Linked DNA regions of Oryctolagus cuniculus. The protein of the gene in region 1 interacts with the protein of each later gene in a pairwise test. Links are inferred from orthologs where the notes say so. Each region holds a gene or a part of one and is shown in the gene's direction. Other genes may lie near its edges. The genes, in order: WWP1, SMAD3, CPSF6, ATN1 and ENTREP1.

Region 1 (3,465 bases):
TGGTAGAAAGATAACAATTTGTCATAGGTTATATATAAAAGATGTAAAAGAACAGAAAATTACTATTATCTGGACTTAAGATTGTGTCTACAGTGAAGCATAGTTTAAAATAAAGGGGAGGGGCCGGCGCTGCGGCTCAATAGGCTAATCCTCCGCCTGTGGCGCTGGCACACCGGGTTCTAGATCCGGTCCGGGTGCCGGATTCTGTCCCGGTTGCTCCTCTTCCAGGCCAGCTCTCTGCTGTGCCCCGGGAGTGCAGTGGAGGATGGCCCAGGTCCTTGGGCCCTCACCCACATGGGAGACCAGGAGAAGAACCTGGCTCCTGGCTTCGGATCAGCACGGTGCGCTGGCCGCAGTGGCCATTGGGGAATGAACCAACGGAAAAAGGAAGACCTCTCTATCTCTCTCTCTTACTGTCTACTCTGTCAAAAAAAAAATAAATTAATTTAAAAAAAGGGGGAGGGCAATAATATCTTTACCGTTTTTTAAGATACAAACAATATTTATGTTCTGAGAGCAGCACTGTTTTAACTGGCTGCCTTGTTTCAAAAAGCTTTTAATTTTCATCTTTCGTGACTCCTACATGAGCCGAGGCAAGGGCAGATGAGCAGTAGAGTGGTAGGAGGTCACCTGGATAATTCATAGAGGAAAAGCTCCACATGAGCGAGTTACTGTATAGACAGGTTCCAGCCTGAGAAGCTGTTTCACTGGTCACAGAGAGGGAACCAAAACACAGACATTGAATCATACTGCTGACCAGTATTGTATCCTAGGAAATTAAATGTTACTCTGACTTTGTAAATTGAAAAACAATACATTATGATTTTAAGCATTTTCAGTATTTTTATATTTTTCGTCAGTTAGTCCCAGAAGTCTGACAATACTGAAAAGGTGTCATTTTAGATGTTATACATATGGTGAGGAGATTATTTGAAGAGACATAGAAAAGTATGTATTTGTTCACTGTCTCCACCCCAGAACCTGAGGTCCACGAGGACAAGGCTTTGAGTTTTTCATCCCCATCTCATCAGCTTCTGGCACAGTATACAGCATGGAAAAGATTCTCAGTAAATACTGAACTGATGAATGAATGAGTGAATGAAAGAAATGTACTCTTAACCCAAGAGAATTGAGTAGGGAGCACATACATGTGGCAGTCAGGAATACTACAGAAAAATGATTTAAAAAATTCTTTGGTGCTTCAGTTACTATTTGTAATTTATTTTCTATGGGAAATGTTAAAATATTATTTATGTATAGGTCTTAAATAGCTTGCTCTTGGAAATGCTGATATATAGTAATAATGTGCTTAAAAATACTGTATTAGAAATGTCTCATAGCTTATTTTATTGAAAACATCTGATTTTGTTTTTGTTTTTGTTCAGTTTTAATCGCTTGGATCTACCACCATATAAGAGTTATGAACAACTAAAGGAAAAACTCCTTTTTGCAATAGAAGAAACAGAGGGATTTGGACAAGAATGAATGTGGCTTCTTGTTTTGGAGGAGCTCTTGCATTTAAATACCCCAACCAAGAAAATTGCACAGATAGTATATATAAGCTGTTCATTCTGTACAGGAGTTTTCTGAACCTTTCAAAAGTATAAATGTTTTCCGTTCTTCCACAGAAATATGCAAAACCATTCATCTTTTTCTACTTTATTTATTGTTCCCTTGAAATGACTGACCAGGAAAAAGATCACCCTTAAATTTTGAAACAAGCAAGAGACTTTATTAAAAAATAAGAAGTATATATCTCTATTAAGCATATATGATAGTGGCTCTAGTTTTATAGAGCTCCAAGTGTATTAAACATCACAGCTGTTCTTCACAAAGATCTGGATTTGCTTTACCTTTATTATCCAGGGGAAAAAGTGCAAACTGCTCCATGTTCTTCATGTAACAACTCCTGAGGGCATTTAGCTGCATGGCTGTTCAGGAAGGTATTAAGGGCTTAAGCCAAATCTTACTTTGAGTATATTTAAAAATGCTGCTGGCTTTTCTGAAGACAGGTGCTTAAACCTGTCAGTTTGTTTTAAATAAATAGAATAGTTGAAAATTTTTCCCTCTTTGCTACATTAGTAATACAGTGAAAGTATGAATGGAGACCATACTTACATGAAAGTTCTATTAGATCCAATACCACTTAGTTTATTATAGAGATTGGTAAAAATTCATTCAGCAGACTAGAGGTTTGTTTACATGTTACTTTGGGATATTAGGTATTTGTGAATTAAAAAATCAGGCACTTCTGTACTTTTCTTTTTAAATCTGTGACATCCTTCAAATTTTATTCACAATAAATTGATGCAGTTTGATACATAGGAACATATAAAAGGTAATGTGAACTTTGCCACTTTTGTGTTCAAAATTCCAGTTTTATAAAAGCAGATGAATTGAAAAGTTACACAAGCATTTGAAACACAAATAGAAGACTAAGGATTTTCTATTACTGTTTGAATATCTTCATTCCTTTCAAATTCATGAAAATTCTATGTATCTGAATTAAACAAGCATATTAAAAACCTTCTGGGTCCTCTTTCCCCCCTTTTACAATTATTTTTGTTCTAAGTAAATAACACTTGTTTTTCATTATAAGGGCATTTGCTGAACTACAAAGATGTATAACAAAATCTGATGTGAATGATATTAATGCTACTTTTAGCAAACTGGACTTCTTAATTAATACAAAAATTTCAATTTCCATTTGTATCATGCTTTCAATATGCACTGTAAACTTCTTTAACTTAAACTTTTTTTTATAACCATTGAACTGACTTAGGAATGTGTTACCTGTAAATAATTCACTGCTAAGTGCATACAGAAAATACTAGTATACAGTTAACTTCCGTACAGTTTTTGCTTTCCAAAAATTTTATTTTTCTACATAATAATTTAGATTGTGTTCTGCATTTTATTCAAAATTCACAGTAAAGGTAAAATAAAGTCAGTGATCCACTTGATTGAATAGATTCCTTTCCCAAATCCTAACTCCAGACATTCTGGTTATTTTCAAGTCTTACAGAATTTTTAAAAAGAATTCTAATGTATATGACAGGTTACACAATAGAAAGTGATTAACCTTCAAAAGGAGTGCTTAAACTGTACCACTAAAGTTAGACATTAGACACACAGGTGGCGTAGCGCTGTAGAGCATTCACTGTGACAGAAGTTCCCGAGTACCACCACTCAGTGGAGCTATACCAGAGTATCAGATTTACGTGGTTTTCTGGGTAATTACCCCCCTCAACATTTCAAGTAAGAAACTACCTTGTACCACGAACTTACAGGGAGACCAAACCAGTTTTTTGGGAAGACTAGTTAAGAGAAGTCAGGAGAGCTTTCATAGTCAATGATAGACATCCAGAGGTACATGATTTGTCTGTTCTGCAGTAGAAAAAAATGAAGAAATGTGGCCCCACCTTTTCTCATCTCTTCCCATCCCTGTTCTGTCCTGAAAGAACC
Region 2 (4,002 bases), on another chromosome or scaffold:
CTTGTAAGCCCAGGCTGGCGTTGGGTTCAGGGATTCTCCTTCCAGGTTTTAGCAGGGAGGGAGCTATAGCAGGAGAGGAGGGCGAGGAGCACCTGGCTGTGCGGAGGCTACGGGGCGGGCTAGGCCAGGGCCCCTGCAGCTTCTGGGCTGACTTTGTGGATTCGGCCACACCTCACAGGGCTTTGTAACTTCCCACCACTTGAGGGTTTGCAGATAACTTCTTTCTCACCACTGGGGGTTTCCTGCTGTTAAAAACAAACAAAGGCCTTACCCACCAGGGTGGCCTCACAGGGGAGGCCCCTGCAAAGGCAGGCGCTGGGGTAACTCCAGACAGCCCCGAGGAAGGGCTCCTGGATTCTGCGGGTGGGGAGGAAAGCTAGGAGCCCGCCCCCTCCCCCGGTGTGTGTGTGTGTGGGGGGGCGCTGAGTGCCTCAGCTCCCGGAGAACTCAGCACTTTAGTGCGGGGGTTTCAGATTTCGGATCTAGCTGTCTCTGAGTGTGCAACACCCGGTAATGTGACTTTCACCCAGAGACACATTCTAACGCGCCCCCGTTCATTCCTTCACGAACTCAACAGATGTCTTTTGAGGCCCTTTTGCTGCCAAGTACTTGGTTCACAAGGCTCAAGGGAACCCCCCCCCTCAGCTATTGTGCGCGCTGTCACCCGAGTCCTCGCAAACGCCATTTCCCAGGGCCCAGTGTCCCCTCTCTCAGCTCCCGCTCCGCAGTCTCGGTGTGACCTCACAAGCCCCTGGGTCGCGGGCGCCTGCCAAGACCCCTGCCCAGGATCGGCACACACGAGACTAAGTGCGCGCCCCGACCCCCTCGGCCTCGAGTCGGAGTCCGCTCAAGGTCCGACGGCGCCTCCTCGCCCCCGTCCTGCCCGCGACTCCAACCGAGCTCGGGCCCCCGCCTGGGGCCCCTCCGCCCGCCCGTTTCCCGGGACTTCCTCCCCCGCGCACGCTCGGCTGCGGGCCGCGGCCGCGCGGGGTACGGCGCGCTCCAGCCGGGCCCGTCGCCGCCCCCGGTCGCCCACGTGGGCGCGCTCGGCGCGGGGCGGGGGAAGGCCGGGCGGCCTCGGCGGAGCAGGGGCGGGCAGGGCGCCCGGGGGAGGAGGCGGGGAGCCCGGGCGGCGAGGGGGCGGTGACAGCGCTAGGCCGGGAGGCTGCACGCGGATTTGCATGAAACATAGACTGGGAGCGGGCGGGAGCGGGAGCGCCGCGCACGCCCCGGGCCGGCCCCGCGAGCGAACGAGCGCGCCGGGAGGAGGAGGAGGAGGGAAGCGGGGAGGCGAGGCCGCAGAGGCGGAGGGATCTGCGCATCAAAGCGAGCGAGGCGAGCAAAGTTTGGCTGGGGGCTGGACTTTCCTTCCCGGAGGCGGCACCCAAACAGCTACCCCGTGCGGAAACCCAAACTTTGTGCTGCCACTCCGAGCCTCGCGGCCGCTGCCTCCGCCCCACGCTCGGGGCCTTCCCGACCCAGCGCCGCCGCCCGCCCGCCCGCTCGCCCGCCGGCCGCCCTTCTCCGCCCCGTGGGAGCCGTTCGCTCGCGCGCAGGGCCGCGCGCCGAGCCCCGCAGGCTGCAGCGCCGCGGCCCGGCCCTGCGCACGGGGCAAGTTCGCCCGGAGTTGAGGCGAAGTTTGGGGCGGCCGCGGCCGGCCCGAGCCGAGCTCCCTTCTTGCGCCCCCGGCGCCCCGCCGCGCCCAGCCCCGCCGGGGGCGCCCCCTCGCCGCCCGCGCGCCCTCCCCAGCCATGTCGTCCATCCTGCCCTTCACCCCGCCGATCGTGAAGCGCCTGCTGGGCTGGAAGAAGGGCGAGCAGAACGGGCAGGAGGAGAAGTGGTGTGAGAAGGCGGTCAAGAGCCTGGTTAAGAAGCTCAAGAAGACGGGGCAGCTGGACGAGCTGGAGAAGGCCATCACCACGCAGAACGTCAACACCAAGTGCATCACCATCCCCAGGTGGGGGCCCGGGGTTGCGCCGGCCCAGCCCCCTTGGCGCGGCGCGGGTGGAGAGCCGGGACCCGCGGGCGTGCGCGGGGCAGCGGGAGCCTGGCCGGGGGGTGGGGGAGGGAGACCCCAAACAAAACCTCCTTCTGGGAGCGCGAGGCTTCCACGCGGCACTCTGGCTTCCAGACCGCACCTTCGCTTTCCACCTCCGGGATGGGGGTGCGGCGGGTTTGGGGCGGGGGCGGGCGCTGGTGGTGGTGGTGGTGTTGCTGGGATCGGCCGCCCCCAGCCCGGGGAGCTACCGAGTCCAAGTTGAGGCCCGCTTTGTTCGGCTCCGCGGGCGGGAGCCCCTCCCCCGCCGCCGCCGCCTCCCGCCCCCGCGGCCCGCGCTCGCGGAGGTGTAGCTGCCATTCTCCGCGGCGGCCGGGTCCCCTCGCGTCTTTCCGCCTCTGCAGGAATGCAGTCGGTACAGCTGGGGCGGTGGGTGCGGAGCCCTAGCCGCGTGATGGACAGATGCCTTCTTCGCTCTTTCTTTGCCTTTGGGATTAGCATTTGTATCGAGTATTTTTAGACTGGGTTGTGCCAGCCTCCCGCCCCGCTGTGCGCGCACGCCCTGGAGTTGCTGCGCAGGGCTCTGACTTCTTCGAAACGGGAGGTGCGAGTGGCAAGGCCACGGGGTCTTCTCCGTGAGCCCGCCGCCCTGCCCGCACCTTTGCCCTCCATTGTGGTCTGAGACGCTGCAGATCGGTGCAGAACGGAGAGGGGGGCTGGAGCCGCGCAGACACAGCCGCCCCGGAGTGGGCCTCGCGTCCGCCTTCGCATTCCTGTGGAGCCCTCACTCTCAAAGCGCTTTGCCATCTGTCGGGACCGCCTTTATCCTTGCCCGGCGCGAGCCGAGGCTGGCGGGCGCTCACAGATGGCTGATGGAAGGGTCAGTGACTTCTGACACCCCGGGGCCTTCCAGCGCTCAGCCGCGCCTGCTTGGAGATCGGGGTGGGAAGATGGGGGGGGGGGGGGAGGGCTTGGCCCTGCGTCTCTGCTTCTCAGCCCTATTTGGAGTCCGGTTCTGACCCAAGTGGGGCGGGCGCGGGTGGTGGGGACGCCGCAGCCTGGGGGGTCCCGGGCTGCAGAGGAATGAGGAATGGCCCCGCAGGGACTGTCAGCCTCGCTTCTGGGCACGGGTGGACTCCTCTGTCCTTGGCCACCTGCTTGGGGCAGCTGTGCAAGGGCTGCCAGCTGTGTGAGGCAGGCACAAAGCAACATCTGTCCGCAGGAACGCAGGGCAGGCCTCCCCTGCAAATAAATGCTGGGCATGGTGGCAGGGCTGACTTAAGAAGTAGTGAGTTGTGCTTTTTTTTTTTCTTTCCCCTAAAATGGGTGGATCCAGTCAAGAGAGGCGGTGTGCTTTGTGGGGAAGGCACTGTGGGCCGGGGGTCGGGAGCCAGAGTGGACTTCAGAGGAGGTGGTGTAATGGGATGGGCAGAGAAACTTGGGTTTTGGGCCCGCCTCTGGTTTTTAATTCTTTTTTATCCCTTTGGTGGGGGCCCCACCGGTAGAATGGGGGTCTTGGGGGGGTGCTTCTCTCCTGCTCCATGTTTGCCTGGGTGGGTGGAGGACACACAGGCTTAATTTATTCGTGGAAATGGGCAGTGGGGTGGGGGTGGGATGGGTTATAAAACAGGCAGCTGTGCAAAGTGTTCTACAGTTTACAAAGCACTTTCACGTGGTTTTACGAGGTCCTCGAAGAAAGAGACCCATGCCTGGAAAACAGATAAGGCAGCCGGGCTGGAGATGATCTCATTTTCCAAGCGGAGAACACTGGAGCAGGGAGGTGGGCAGGCTTGATCCAGGGGCTGCGCCTTCTGCCGCCCTGTGCTGCTGAGCACTTGGAAGGCTGAGGCTCGCTCGGCCCAAGGCTCGGCCCAAGGCTGGAGCTGTGTCAGCTGGGGTGGGCGGTGGGAGGTTGGCTTCCACCTGTAGGCCTTGTTTGCCTGTCTCTTGGTAGGAGTTTGCTTTGCGCGGGGCAGGACAAGGGCCTGCCTTTAAGAGTCCTGGGA
Region 3 (3,515 bases), on another chromosome or scaffold:
CACAGGCCCAAGGCATCTGAAAGTTAATATATAGCGTAAATGGACTTTGAGGTAGAATTGTTTCTAGTAGCAGTGGTTACATTTCAAAAAGCTGTTCTAATAAGTGCTATTTATGAGTATTTGGATATTTGCAGCTACACAATCAGGACAAATGTCTGGGGAAGGTAAAGCTGGTCCTCCAGGAGGCAGTTCACGTGCAGCATTTCCACAAGGTGGTAGAGGACGGGGCCGTTTTCCAGGGGCTGTTCCCGGTGGGGACAGATTTCCTGGGCCAGCAGGACCAGGAGGGCCACCCCCTCCTTTTCCAGGTAAAATTTTACTTAAATTACCATGGATAAAACATGTCTACCTAATACCTCTTTTCCTTTTCTCTCTTTTTCAAGTAATGCATTATTAATGTGACTTACTCTCCTTGTTATGCTATTTTTGGAATCCAGGAAATTTGATCAAGCATCTTGTTAAAGGAACTCGGCCTTTGTTCCTGGAAACTAGGATTCCATGGCATATGGGGCACAGCATAGAGGAAATACCCATTTTTGGCCTAAAAGGTCTTTATTTTTCTCCAAACTTGCTTGACTTATATATAGAATATTTACATCAGTCTTATTTTCTTACCTCTTAAAAATCCTTTCAAGACCATTTTTCCTCGTTTCACTTTCTAGCTTGGCATCAGAGTAGAATATAAGGTGGGTGATTTCACTGTAAGAAGTGTGTGTACACTGAAAGATGGAAAATATTTCTAAGCACTGTAATCTTTTTTAGTAAAGTTTTTGTTTCAATAATTTTTGCTAAGCATAAATTGAGCTAGTTAAATTTGTAAGGATATCCTTCACCTTTGTAGTTGTTAGCGTAGCATTTACCTTATGGGTTTTGTATAAAGAGAATTTTGGTCTGTGAGTTATGCTTTAAAAGTATAATAATCTTGGCATATAAATGTTAAAAGTATCTTTGTTATTAAAATATTTTCTCTCTCTCTCTCTCTCGTTTATTCTATAGCTGGACAGACTCCGCCACGTCCACCCTTGGGTCCTCCAGGCCCACCTGGCCCACCAGGTCCTCCACCTCCTGGTCAGGTTCTGCCACCTCCTCTAGCTGGGCCTCCTAATCGAGGAGATCGCCCTCCACCACCAGTTCTCTTTCCTGGACAACCTTTTGGGCAGCCTCCACTGGGTCCACTTCCTCCTGGCCCTCCACCTCCAGTTCCAGGCTACGGCCCCCCTCCTGGTCCACCACCTCCACAACAGGGACCACCTCCACCACCAGGCCCTTTTCCACCTCGCCCACCTGGTCCACTTGGGCCACCCCTTACACTCGCTCCTCCTCCGCATCTTCCGGGACCACCACCAGGTGCCCCGCCGCCAGCTCCACATGTGAACCCGGCTTTCTTTCCTCCGCCAACTAACAGTGGCATGCCTACATCCGATAGCCGAGGTCCACCACCTACAGACCCATATGGCCGACCGCCACCATATGATAGGGGTGACTATGGCCCTCCAGGAAGGTACGTTAATTTGCAGCAATCAGAGTGTTTCATTGGTAAAAGATGGTTGTTTTGTAGGAAAATAACATGGAAATGTAGCTAACATCAAAAACAGCTAGTGTAAAGTGCTTTACACTGTTAAGTCTAACTTAGAAAATCTGTTGGGTTTGACTTAAAGTTTCTTTCTGTTTTAAAGGGAAATGGATACTGCAAGAACACCATTGAGTGAAGCTGAATTTGAAGAAATCATGAATAGGAACAGGGCAATCTCAAGCAGTGCTATTTCAAGAGCTGTGTCTGATGCCAGTGCTGGTTTGTATATTTTTTCCTATATTCATAATTTTTACTTATGTGAAATGATCTAAACTTAAAAGCAGTCCGAAAGATATGTCATTTACGTTTAATAGTTCTTTTTGTATTCTCAAATTGTTATAAAGTATTGGAGAAAGCAGTACTCACAGTATAGCAGAAAGACCCCACAATTGTAAGTTATCAAGTGTTGATTTAAGTATTGGCCTTGACATTTAATGGTTTCAGAGACCTTCAGACAGCTTATTCAGTCTCCTGTTTACAAAATGATAAACTGTTTGACACAGCTTCGGTGATACCAGATTTTGTTAATTTGATCAATTTTAGCTTTTGCAAGTTTTGAAACCAAAAAGACACTGTTTTCTGTGATTGTTTTGAGGTGCACTACTTGAGTAAAATACTTTGCCACTCTTATCCCTACGTGGCTTGGCAGTGTTTCCCAACAAAAGTTACTGTTTTTAAGGTTTATTTATTCATTTGGTTGAAAACCAGAATACTCAAGTGCCTGCAACAGCCAGTGTTGGACTAGGCTGAAGCCAGGGGGCCAGAACTCCACTGGGTTCTCCTATGTGGGTAGCAGGGATCCAAGCAACTATTACGTTCCCAAGCACATTAGTAGGAAGCTGGATTAACAGTGGAGCCTCTGAGACATTAACTTGCATTCTAATGTGGATGTGGGTACTCCTAGTAGTGGCTTAACTTGCTGAGCCACACCAGCCCTCCCCAAAATTTGCTTGACTTCAATGCCTTTCTTTTCCTCTACAGGTGATTATGGGAGTGCTATTGAGACTTTGGTAACTGCAATTTCTTTAATTAAACAATCCAAAGTATCTGCCGATGATCGTTGCAAAGTTCTTATTAGTTCTTTGCAAGATTGCCTTCATGGAATTGAGTCCAAGTCCTATGGTTCTGGATCAAGGTAAAACTTTCCTGTCTCCTGTCTGTTGAAACCTGCTAGTTTACAAAAGGAAAAAATACTGTGTTTGGGACTTTAAAACAAAAGTTTGATGTACTTACTGTTTACTTAGCAGCTGGAATGATTTTTTTAAACTCTTAAGTCAGATGTTAGGTGTTTGCTTAAAACCCGTCAAAGGCTTCCACTTAGGCTTACTTCTTGTACTTCTCCCCATACTCACTCTAGCCATATTGATCTGTCTTTTCCTCTGGGCACATGAAGCATTTGACCATCTTACTGATTTTGTACTTGGTATTCCTTCTCCTGGGAACCCTTTTCCCTGGCTCTTCACATTCCCTGGCTCCTTATCCTTCTCCTTGTCTCAGTCTAACTTCTTAAGAGGGTCTTCTCCCAGGTTAGTCTGTCATATCCTTCTCTTACTTGCCGTAACCTATTCTTATTTGTTACTTGTATTTCATCTCATTAGAACATACTGAATGATAGCAGGGATTTGATCTAACCTACCTGCTACAGTTCTGTATTTCTAATGCTTAAACTTTGCCTGGTACAGTGTGGTGCTGAGTGAGTGAGTGAGTGAATGAATGAATGAATGTAGTTCCTTGCTTTCAGAATTCCTGCCAACTGCCCTGGAAAGGTGTCTTTTTAATCCTCACATAATCTCCCTTTAGTATGTTATCTGGTAGTAGAGTCATCTTTATTATTAAGGGAAAGGAGTTTGTCTTTGGCAGTTCCAACTTTATAATTACTGCCTTTTGACTTAGCTTATCTTTTTATCTGAACCAGTTGGTCAGAACTAACAGCATATTAAAT
Region 4 (3,515 bases), on another chromosome or scaffold:
CAGTGACGGCAAAGCCGAGAAGTCCAGGCAGACAGCCAAGGTATCTGTGCTCAGGTCCTCCCGCAGCATGCTGGGGGCGGGTGTTGTGGGGGACTTCCTGTCTGGCAGAGCAGGCCCAGTGGAGGCTTGGGAGGCGGAAGACAGAGTTTTCTCTTTCCCTCTCACAGAAGGCCCGAGTAGAGGAAGCCTCCACCCCAAAGGTCAACAAGCAGGGCCGGAGTGAAGAGATCTCAGAGAGTGAAAGTGAGGAGACCAATGCACCAAAAAAGACCAAAACTGAGGTGGGGGACCCTTCTGACCTCTGGCCTGCTTTCTGACCATTCTTCTTCTTCTTCTTTTTTTTTTTTTTTTTTTAAGATTTATTTATTTGAAAGACAGGATTACAGAGAGACGAGAGAGCTTCCACAGGTGCTGGTGTTGCAGGTGGCAGCTTAACCCGTTCCACTGGCCCCTGTTTTGTGACCATTCTTTTCCTCAAGTTTCTTTAGCTCACCATTCCTACCTTAAAGCCTCCTGGGAAATAAGAACAGCCATCTCTTCGTGCCTACCAGCGTGGTCCTGTGAGCTGTCAGGCAGATGTAGGGCTTTGACTGCTAGAGGAGCAGGCAGGGCCTCTGGGGGACTGTAGCCTCTGAGTGAGAGGAACACGTAAGCCAAGGGAAACACAGAAGTGGTCCTGTAAGAAGCACCAAGGGTCTGGGGATGATGACAGGAGAGGAGGGTGGGTGTGAGATGGTGTAGGACAGGGATTCCGAGTCAGTCGTGGGTGGGGAGGGTGCGTGGGGTAGACACTGGAAGAGGGAGTCGGGTTGTACAAGGAGGGAAACAGGTGGCCTGTTAGGGGCGCCTGAGGATGCCAGGAGAGTGAGGATTCTCCTTTGACCAGGAACACTCTTCACAAGTCGGTGCGTCATGTGCTGTGAGAGGCCCCGCTGTTGGGAGACAGGAACTGAAAAAAGAGGCAAAAATGGCTTTCCCTACAGCAGGAGCTCCCGCGGCCACAGTCTCCCTCGGATCTGGACAGCCTGGACGGGCGGAGCCTCAATGACGACGGCAGCAGTGACCCTCGGGATATCGACCAGGACAACCGAAGCACGTCCCCCAGCATCTACAGCCCTGGCAGTGTGGAGAATGACTCCGACTCGTCTTCTGGCCTGTCCCAGGGGCCAGCACGCCCCTACCACCCGCCTCCACTCTTTCCTCCTTCCCCTGCACCACCAGACAGCACCCCCCGGCAGCCAGAGCCTGGCTTTGAACCCCATCCTGTGACACCCACTGGATACCATGCTCCCATGGAGCCCCCCACATCTCGAATGTTCCAGGCTCCTCCTGGGGCTCCTCCCCCTCACCCACAGCTCTACTCTGGGGGTGCTGCTGGAGGGGTTTTGTCCGGACCTCCAATGGGTCCCAAAGGGGGAGGGACTGCCTCTTCAGTTGGAGCCCCTGGTGGGGGAAAGCAGCACCCTCCACCCACTACCCCCATTTCAATATCAAGCTCTGGGGCCAGTGGTGCTCCCCCAACAAAGCCACCTACCACTCCCTTGGGTAGTGGGAATCTGCCCGCTGCTCCACCACCCGCCACTTTCCCCCACGTGACACCAAACCTGCCTCCCCCACCTGCCCTGCGGCCTCTCAACAATGCATCAGCTTCTCCTCCTGGCCTGGGGGCCCAGCCGCTACCTGGGCATCTGCCCTCCCCCCACGCCATGGGCCAGAATATGGGTGGACTTCCTCCTGGCCCAGAGAAGGGCCCGGCCCTGGCGCCCTCGCCCCACCCTCTGCCCCCTGCATCCTCCTCCTCCGCCCCAGCCCCCCCAATGAGGTACTCTTACTCATCCTCTTCCAGCAGCTCTGTGGCAGTCTCCTCCAGTTCCAACTCTGCCCCCCAGTACCCAGCCTCCCAGGCACTGCCCAGTTATCCCCACTCCTTCCCCCCTCCCACAAGCCTCTCTGTTTCCAATCAGCCACCCAAGTACACTCAGCCTTCTCTCCCATCCCAGGCCGTGTGGAGCCAGGGACCTCCTCCCCCTCCCCCATATGGCCGCCTTTTAGCCAACAGCAATGCCCATCCTGGCCCCTTCGCGCCTTCCTCTGGGGGCCAGTCCACTGCCCACCCACCAGCCCCAGCCCATCACCACCACCACCAGCAGCAGCAGCAGCAGCAGCAGCAGCAGCAGCAGCAGCAACAACATCACCACGGCAGCTCCGGGCCGCCTCCCCCGGGCGCATACCCCCATCCTCTGGAGAGCAGCAGCTCCCACCACGCCCACCCTTACACCATGTCTCCCTCTCTGGGTTCTCTGAGGCCCTATCCCCCAGGGCCGGCACACCTGCCCCCACCCCACAACCAGGTGTCCTACAGCCAAGCAGGCCCCAACGGCCCCCCAGCCTCTTCCTCTTCCAACTCCTCTTCCTCTTCTCAAGGTTCCTACCCCTGTTCACATCCATCCCCTTCACAGGGGCCCCAGGGCGCGCCCTACCCCTTCCCACCGGGGCCCCCGGTCACCACCTCTGCTACCCTCTCCACGGTGATCGCCACCGTGGCCTCCTCGCCAGCAGGCTACAAAACGGCCTCCCCGCCTGGGCCGCCACCGTACGGAAAGAGAGCCCCGTCCCCAGGGGCCTACAAGACGGCCACCCCGCCCGGATACAAGCCGGGGTCGCCGCCCTCCTTCCGAACAGGGACCCCTCCGGGCTACCGAGGCGCCTCACCGCCTGCCGGCCCGGGGACCTTCAAGCCAGGCTCACCTACGGTGGGGCCCGGGCCCCTGCCACCTGCGGGGCCCTCAAACCTGTCATCTCTGCCGCCGCCACCTGCGGCCCCTAACTCAGGGCCCACCCTGAACGCCGCGCAAATCAAACAGGAGCCGGCGGAGGAGTATGAGTCCCCCGAGAGCCCGGCGCCCCCGGCCCGCAGCCCCTCGCCCCCTCCCAAGGTGGTAGACATGCCCAGCCATGCCAGTCAGTCTGCCAGGTGAGCGGGCGTCCGGGGCGGGGTGCAGGTGGGGTTGGGATGGGGGACAGAGCAGGGAGACGTGGTAGGGGCCTGGCGGTCTCGCGGTGCTCTGTAAAAGGACACCGTAAACGGCCCTTGAGGGCAGCAGCTCGCTCGCGCGGGCTCAGCTGCGCTACCTCCCGCGCCTGGCAGGTTCAACAAACACCTGGACCGCGGCTTCAACTCGTGCGCGCGCAGCGACTTATACTTCGTGCCGCTGGAGGGCTCCAAGCTGGCCAAGAAGCGGGCCGACCTGGTGGAGAAGGTGCGGCGCGAGGCCGAGCAGCGCGCGCGCGAAGAAAAGGAGCGAGAGCGGGAGCGTGAGCGTGAGAAAGAGCGCGAGCGCGAGAAGGAGCGCGAGCTCGAGCGCAGCGTGGTGAGTGCGTCACGAGGTGCGCCGCCCGCCCCCTATCCCTCCCTCCTGGTCACTGCGCAGCGGGTCTGGGAGGCTGGGGGAGTTACCGCCACCTGTCGGAGAGGAGGAGCCACTACAGTCCAGGAAGTGAATCGCGAAAGGATT
Region 5 (3,515 bases), on another chromosome or scaffold:
CTTGGGCCATCCTCCACTGCACTCCCAGGCCACAGCAGAGAGCTGGACTGAAAGAGGAGCAACTGGGACTAGAACCTGGTGCTCATATGGGGTGCCAGTGCCACAGGTGGAGGATTAACCTAGTGAGCCATGGCACCGGCCCCGTGGCCCATTGCCTTTTGTAGAACACTGACCACACTGAGACCTGGGCCCCACCACAGGCAGTGAGAGATGGTTCCTAGAGGGGAGGCCCAGGCCAATCTTGGGATTAGAACCTCCCAGAGGGGTTGGACTCCATGGCTAGGGTTGGGAGTGACAGGGGATCAGAGCAAAAGCCAGCAACTCACCAGTAAAATGAGAAGTTGCTTAATGGGAAAGACTCTCCTTGGTTGATGCTGAAGCAGCCTTGCTCACAGTGAGGCTCTTCTGGTCCTGGGGATGGCCACTGTGACGTCATTCCTTCTGCAGCCAGGTTGGAAAAAGCACCCCGTTTCCCCTGGAAGAGATTCTGCGATGGTTTAGGATCTGACATGGGACCTGTTCTTCCAAGCCTGTGGCCTTCAGCAAGGCCCAGGTCACCCCAGCTCGGGTGTAAGCTGGCAGGGTTATCCCACAGTCAGGCAGGCAGCGCTGGGGGTTTCACTCTCTAGCTAAGGCCCACAGCGGGGAAGCAATGCCTGTGTTGTTTGCTGAGGCTTGTTAAGTTTTGGAAGGCTGGTTCATGGGGGTTATGCTAATTAAAGGCTGCAGCCGGGCCCTTTGGAGGGGACAGAAGGAGCCCCTAGGTCGCTTTGGTTGAAACAAACTTTGTCAGTCATTGGTGAGCAGTCTCCAGTTAGGGCCAGAAGAGTGGCTTCTTGGAATCGCTCATGGCCTTGGTTGGAGGAAACCCATGGGCAAGTCCTGCTCTCAGAGTTGCTGTGGTTTGATGGGGTTTGTCCCTTCTAAACTCATGTTGCAGCCTGTGTGCTCTGGTGGTGCTGTGTGGAGGTGGGGCCTCTGGGGTGTGTGGGTCATTGGGAGGGGCCCCTGCCTTTCTTTTGGGGCTGGGTTCATCTGGCAGGCCTCGATCAGGTCCCCTGGAGAGCGCATTGTTACAGTGTGACACTGCCCCTGGTGCTGTGTCCTCCACATGTGGCCCCTCACTCTGCAGCCATTGTCACTCTTGCCAGATGCCACCATGATGCCCTTGAACTGCCAGCCTCCAGAACTGTGAGCCCAAATCACCTTCACTTCTTCGTAGATCCCTTGGTCCCAGGCATTCTGCTAAAGCAACAGAAGATGGACCAAGGTAGAGGAACAGATGTCTTTCAGGCTGTTCTTGCCAGGAGCCCCGCCCCATGACTGCCACTTCTCCTTGGATGGGAGGCTGCACTTGCTAGGTGTATGTTGTTGACCCAGAACCTTCTCCCTTCCCTTTCGGGTCAGGCAGGGAATGTGTGTGGTTCATGACCAGAGGAACGTACAGGAAAAGGGGGCAGAGCTTTCCTGCGTTTTCCTTCAGACTGCACAAGTCTCATTTTTTTTAAATCCCAGAATTCCAGAACTTTGTTGTTAGGAAGAAAGACCATCACAACTTTTTCAACTTTTTGCCTCCACCCATCAGACTTCAAATGAGCACAAAGAAGGAAATGAAGTGATCATAAATTCAGTCACCTGCATGCATCTGACCCCCAGAATCCGGCTTTTTATCAGGCTCTTTGAGTTTTTCCCTTTTTTGTATCTCAAGAACAGATGTTATACTTTTGCTATTATCTTATTTTTTTTTTCATTCTCTAATGCTCCATAGCCAGAATGAAGGTTTTCTGGATTTTTGTGTGTATTTTTTTGCAGTAATTATTTTAAATTTCATGTTTTTCATTATCTAGTTTCTTATTTTGTGGAATTATCCATGAACATTGGCAGGAAATCTTCCAGATTTAAAAAAAAATTTGCTTGAGGGTCTGTCACACATAGGACAACAAACAAACAAAAAACTCCCTCAAAAAACAACCCTTTCCCCCAGAAAATTATCTAAGAAGCAGTCAGGGGTCGTGGTGGAGGCAGTTTGGAAGTCTAAACGTCAGTAATTTGTAGATGATGAAGAATTGGTAAATATAGCAAATGTAAACAGTGAGCGATAAAGAATCCTCATGTATTCCCAGGCCCAGAATGGGAGAAGGAGAGGGGATGAGAGAGAAGAGGGGAGGAGGAGGCTGTGGGGAGAAACTCACTGACCCTAGAGAACAGCGGCTGCGGTTCTGGTTAAGGTAGCAGGGTATGGAGTGGGCTTCTCCCTGAGGTTCAGCTTCTCTGCACCCACATAGTTTGTTTCAGCTGTGAGACCTCTTCCCCTTGTTCATTCCACTCTTGGGTGTGCTTCTCCCTCTGTTGGTGGTGGTGGGGTTCCTGTTACAAATGAGTGCCAGCCTATTGGCCACCTGGGCTGGGTTCAGGAGCCAGCAGAGTACAGACCTGTGCTTCCCACCGCAGCCCCTGGCTTGCCCCTGCCCGCAGCCCTGTGGGTGAGAGCGCCCCCTGTCCACGGGGCGGGCCTGGCGGGCAGCTCCTGGGGGAGCTCCGTGGCTGCGCCTGCTGTCCCCGCCCCGGCTCCGAGCTGGGACGTGGTTCACTTCTTGCTTTATGTTAACTCACCTTTCAGGTATTTCTTTGGCAAACGGTGAGTCTGCCGTGTAAGGGACGAGAAACTGCTCAGGTACTACTGTAAGAAGCTGTCCTCGGTGTTGAGCAATTCACGTAATAGGAAATTAACCCCTTTGCAGTGTGGAATTCAGTGGCAGCACCATGCCTCCAACACCTCCATCTCATTCGTTTCCTCACTTCCAAGGAGACCCCTACCCAGTGGCAGTCACGCCCCTTCCTGCCCTCCCCAAGCCCCAGGGAGCCCCTGGTCCCTTTTCTGTCCCGTGGATTGGCGTTTGTGGAGGCGGAGGGAGGGGTGGGGCGGACCAGGTGGCTGAGGTGGGGACCGGGGAGCGCCCCTCGTCCTAAGGGGCCGATGGCCGCCCGCACAGTGGGCTTCCTCACGGCGGCGCCATGCTGTTCCTAGGATGGCCGCCTCTGACATCATCCCCGTGCCGCACATCTATGGAGCACGAATCAAAGGCGTGGAGGTGTTCTGTCCCCTGGACCCGCCGCCCCCATACGAAGCGGTGGTGAGCCAGATGGACCGGGAGCAGGTACGGCGCTGCGCAGCCCTCACGCAGCACCCCGGGGGCCTCACGGGGCTCTGCTGCGGGTAAGCTGACGGCAGCACAGTAACCTTCTTCTGTCCCGCTGTTCAGGGACCCGCATTCCGGATTCCAGAAGGGACAGAGACTGCTACAAGCCCGCTGGAAGTGGTCTGTGCCCAAGTGACTCAAGGTAATCCCGCGTCATCACTGTCCCACGTCATGATCCAGTAGATTAAAGCACAGCAAAATAATAACCAGTTTGCTATTTTCTTAGAGGTCGGAAATTCTTGGAGTAAGGCTGGCGTTGTGGCATAGCAGGTTAAGTTGCCCCCTGCGATGTTGGCATCCCACCCATATGGGTGC

Evidence for each region.
Region 2: the proteins of WWP1 (region 1) and SMAD3 interact in binary tests that used the Homo sapiens proteins (3 or more experiments, as listed by UniProt). The two-hybrid records come from large-scale screens. The link is inferred for Oryctolagus cuniculus from reciprocal best matches to the Homo sapiens genes WWP1 and SMAD3.
Region 3: the proteins of WWP1 (region 1) and CPSF6 interact in binary tests that used the Homo sapiens proteins (3 or more experiments, as listed by UniProt). The link is inferred for Oryctolagus cuniculus from reciprocal best matches to the Homo sapiens genes WWP1 and CPSF6.
Region 4: the proteins of WWP1 (region 1) and ATN1 interact in a two-hybrid assay, tested with the Homo sapiens proteins (2 studies listed by BioGRID and IntAct). The link is inferred for Oryctolagus cuniculus from reciprocal best matches to the Homo sapiens genes WWP1 and ATN1.
Region 5: the proteins of WWP1 (region 1) and ENTREP1 interact in binary tests that used the Homo sapiens proteins (3 or more experiments, as listed by UniProt). The link is inferred for Oryctolagus cuniculus from reciprocal best matches to the Homo sapiens genes WWP1 and ENTREP1.

Annotation. Positions count from the first base shown.
Region 1 is NC_091437.1:111,755,989-111,759,453, forward strand, and holds the end of WWP1 (NEDD4-like E3 ubiquitin-protein ligase WWP1), read left to right. Parts: intron 1-1,385; coding exon 1,386-1,485; 3' UTR 1,486-2,963; downstream 2,964-3,465. UniProt on the Homo sapiens protein: E3 ubiquitin-protein ligase which accepts ubiquitin from an E2 ubiquitin-conjugating enzyme in the form of a thioester and then directly transfers the ubiquitin to targeted substrates.
Region 2 is NC_091443.1:89,858,189-89,862,190, forward strand, and holds the start of SMAD3 (mothers against decapentaplegic homolog 3), read left to right. Parts: upstream 1-1,195; 5' UTR 1,196-1,751; coding exon 1,752-1,957; intron 1,958-2,328; exon of another isoform or gene 2,329-2,411; intron 2,412-2,471; exon of another isoform or gene 2,472-2,868; coding exon of another isoform or gene 2,869-2,876; intron 2,877-4,002. UniProt on the Homo sapiens protein: Receptor-regulated SMAD (R-SMAD) that is an intracellular signal transducer and transcriptional modulator activated by TGF-beta (transforming growth factor) and activin type 1 receptor kinases.
Region 3 is NC_091442.1:71,574,053-71,577,567, forward strand, and holds part of CPSF6 (cleavage and polyadenylation specificity factor subunit 6), read left to right. Parts: intron 1-134; coding exon 135-308; intron 309-437; coding exon 438-548; intron 549-996; coding exon 997-1,501; intron 1,502-1,676; coding exon 1,677-1,792; intron 1,793-2,554; coding exon 2,555-2,708; intron 2,709-3,515. UniProt on the Homo sapiens protein: Component of the cleavage factor Im (CFIm) complex that functions as an activator of the pre-mRNA 3'-end cleavage and polyadenylation processing required for the maturation of pre-mRNA into functional mRNAs.
Region 4 is NC_091440.1:102,606,716-102,610,230, reverse strand, and holds part of ATN1 (atrophin-1), read left to right. Parts: coding exon 1-40; intron 41-167; coding exon 168-281; intron 282-983; coding exon 984-2,974; intron 2,975-3,148; coding exon 3,149-3,371; intron 3,372-3,515. UniProt on the Homo sapiens protein: Transcriptional corepressor. Recruits NR2E1 to repress transcription. Promotes vascular smooth cell (VSMC) migration and orientation. Corepressor of MTG8 transcriptional repression.
Region 5 is NC_091432.1:161,049,356-161,052,870, reverse strand, and holds part of ENTREP1 (endosomal transmembrane epsin interactor 1), read left to right. Parts: intron 1-3,028; coding exon 3,029-3,158; intron 3,159-3,263; coding exon 3,264-3,342; intron 3,343-3,515. UniProt on the Homo sapiens protein: Functions as an activator of the E3 ubiquitin protein ligase ITCH in the ubiquitination of the CXCL12-activated CXCR4 receptor. Thereby, triggers CXCR4 endocytosis and desensitization, negatively regulating the CXCL12/CXCR4 signaling pathway.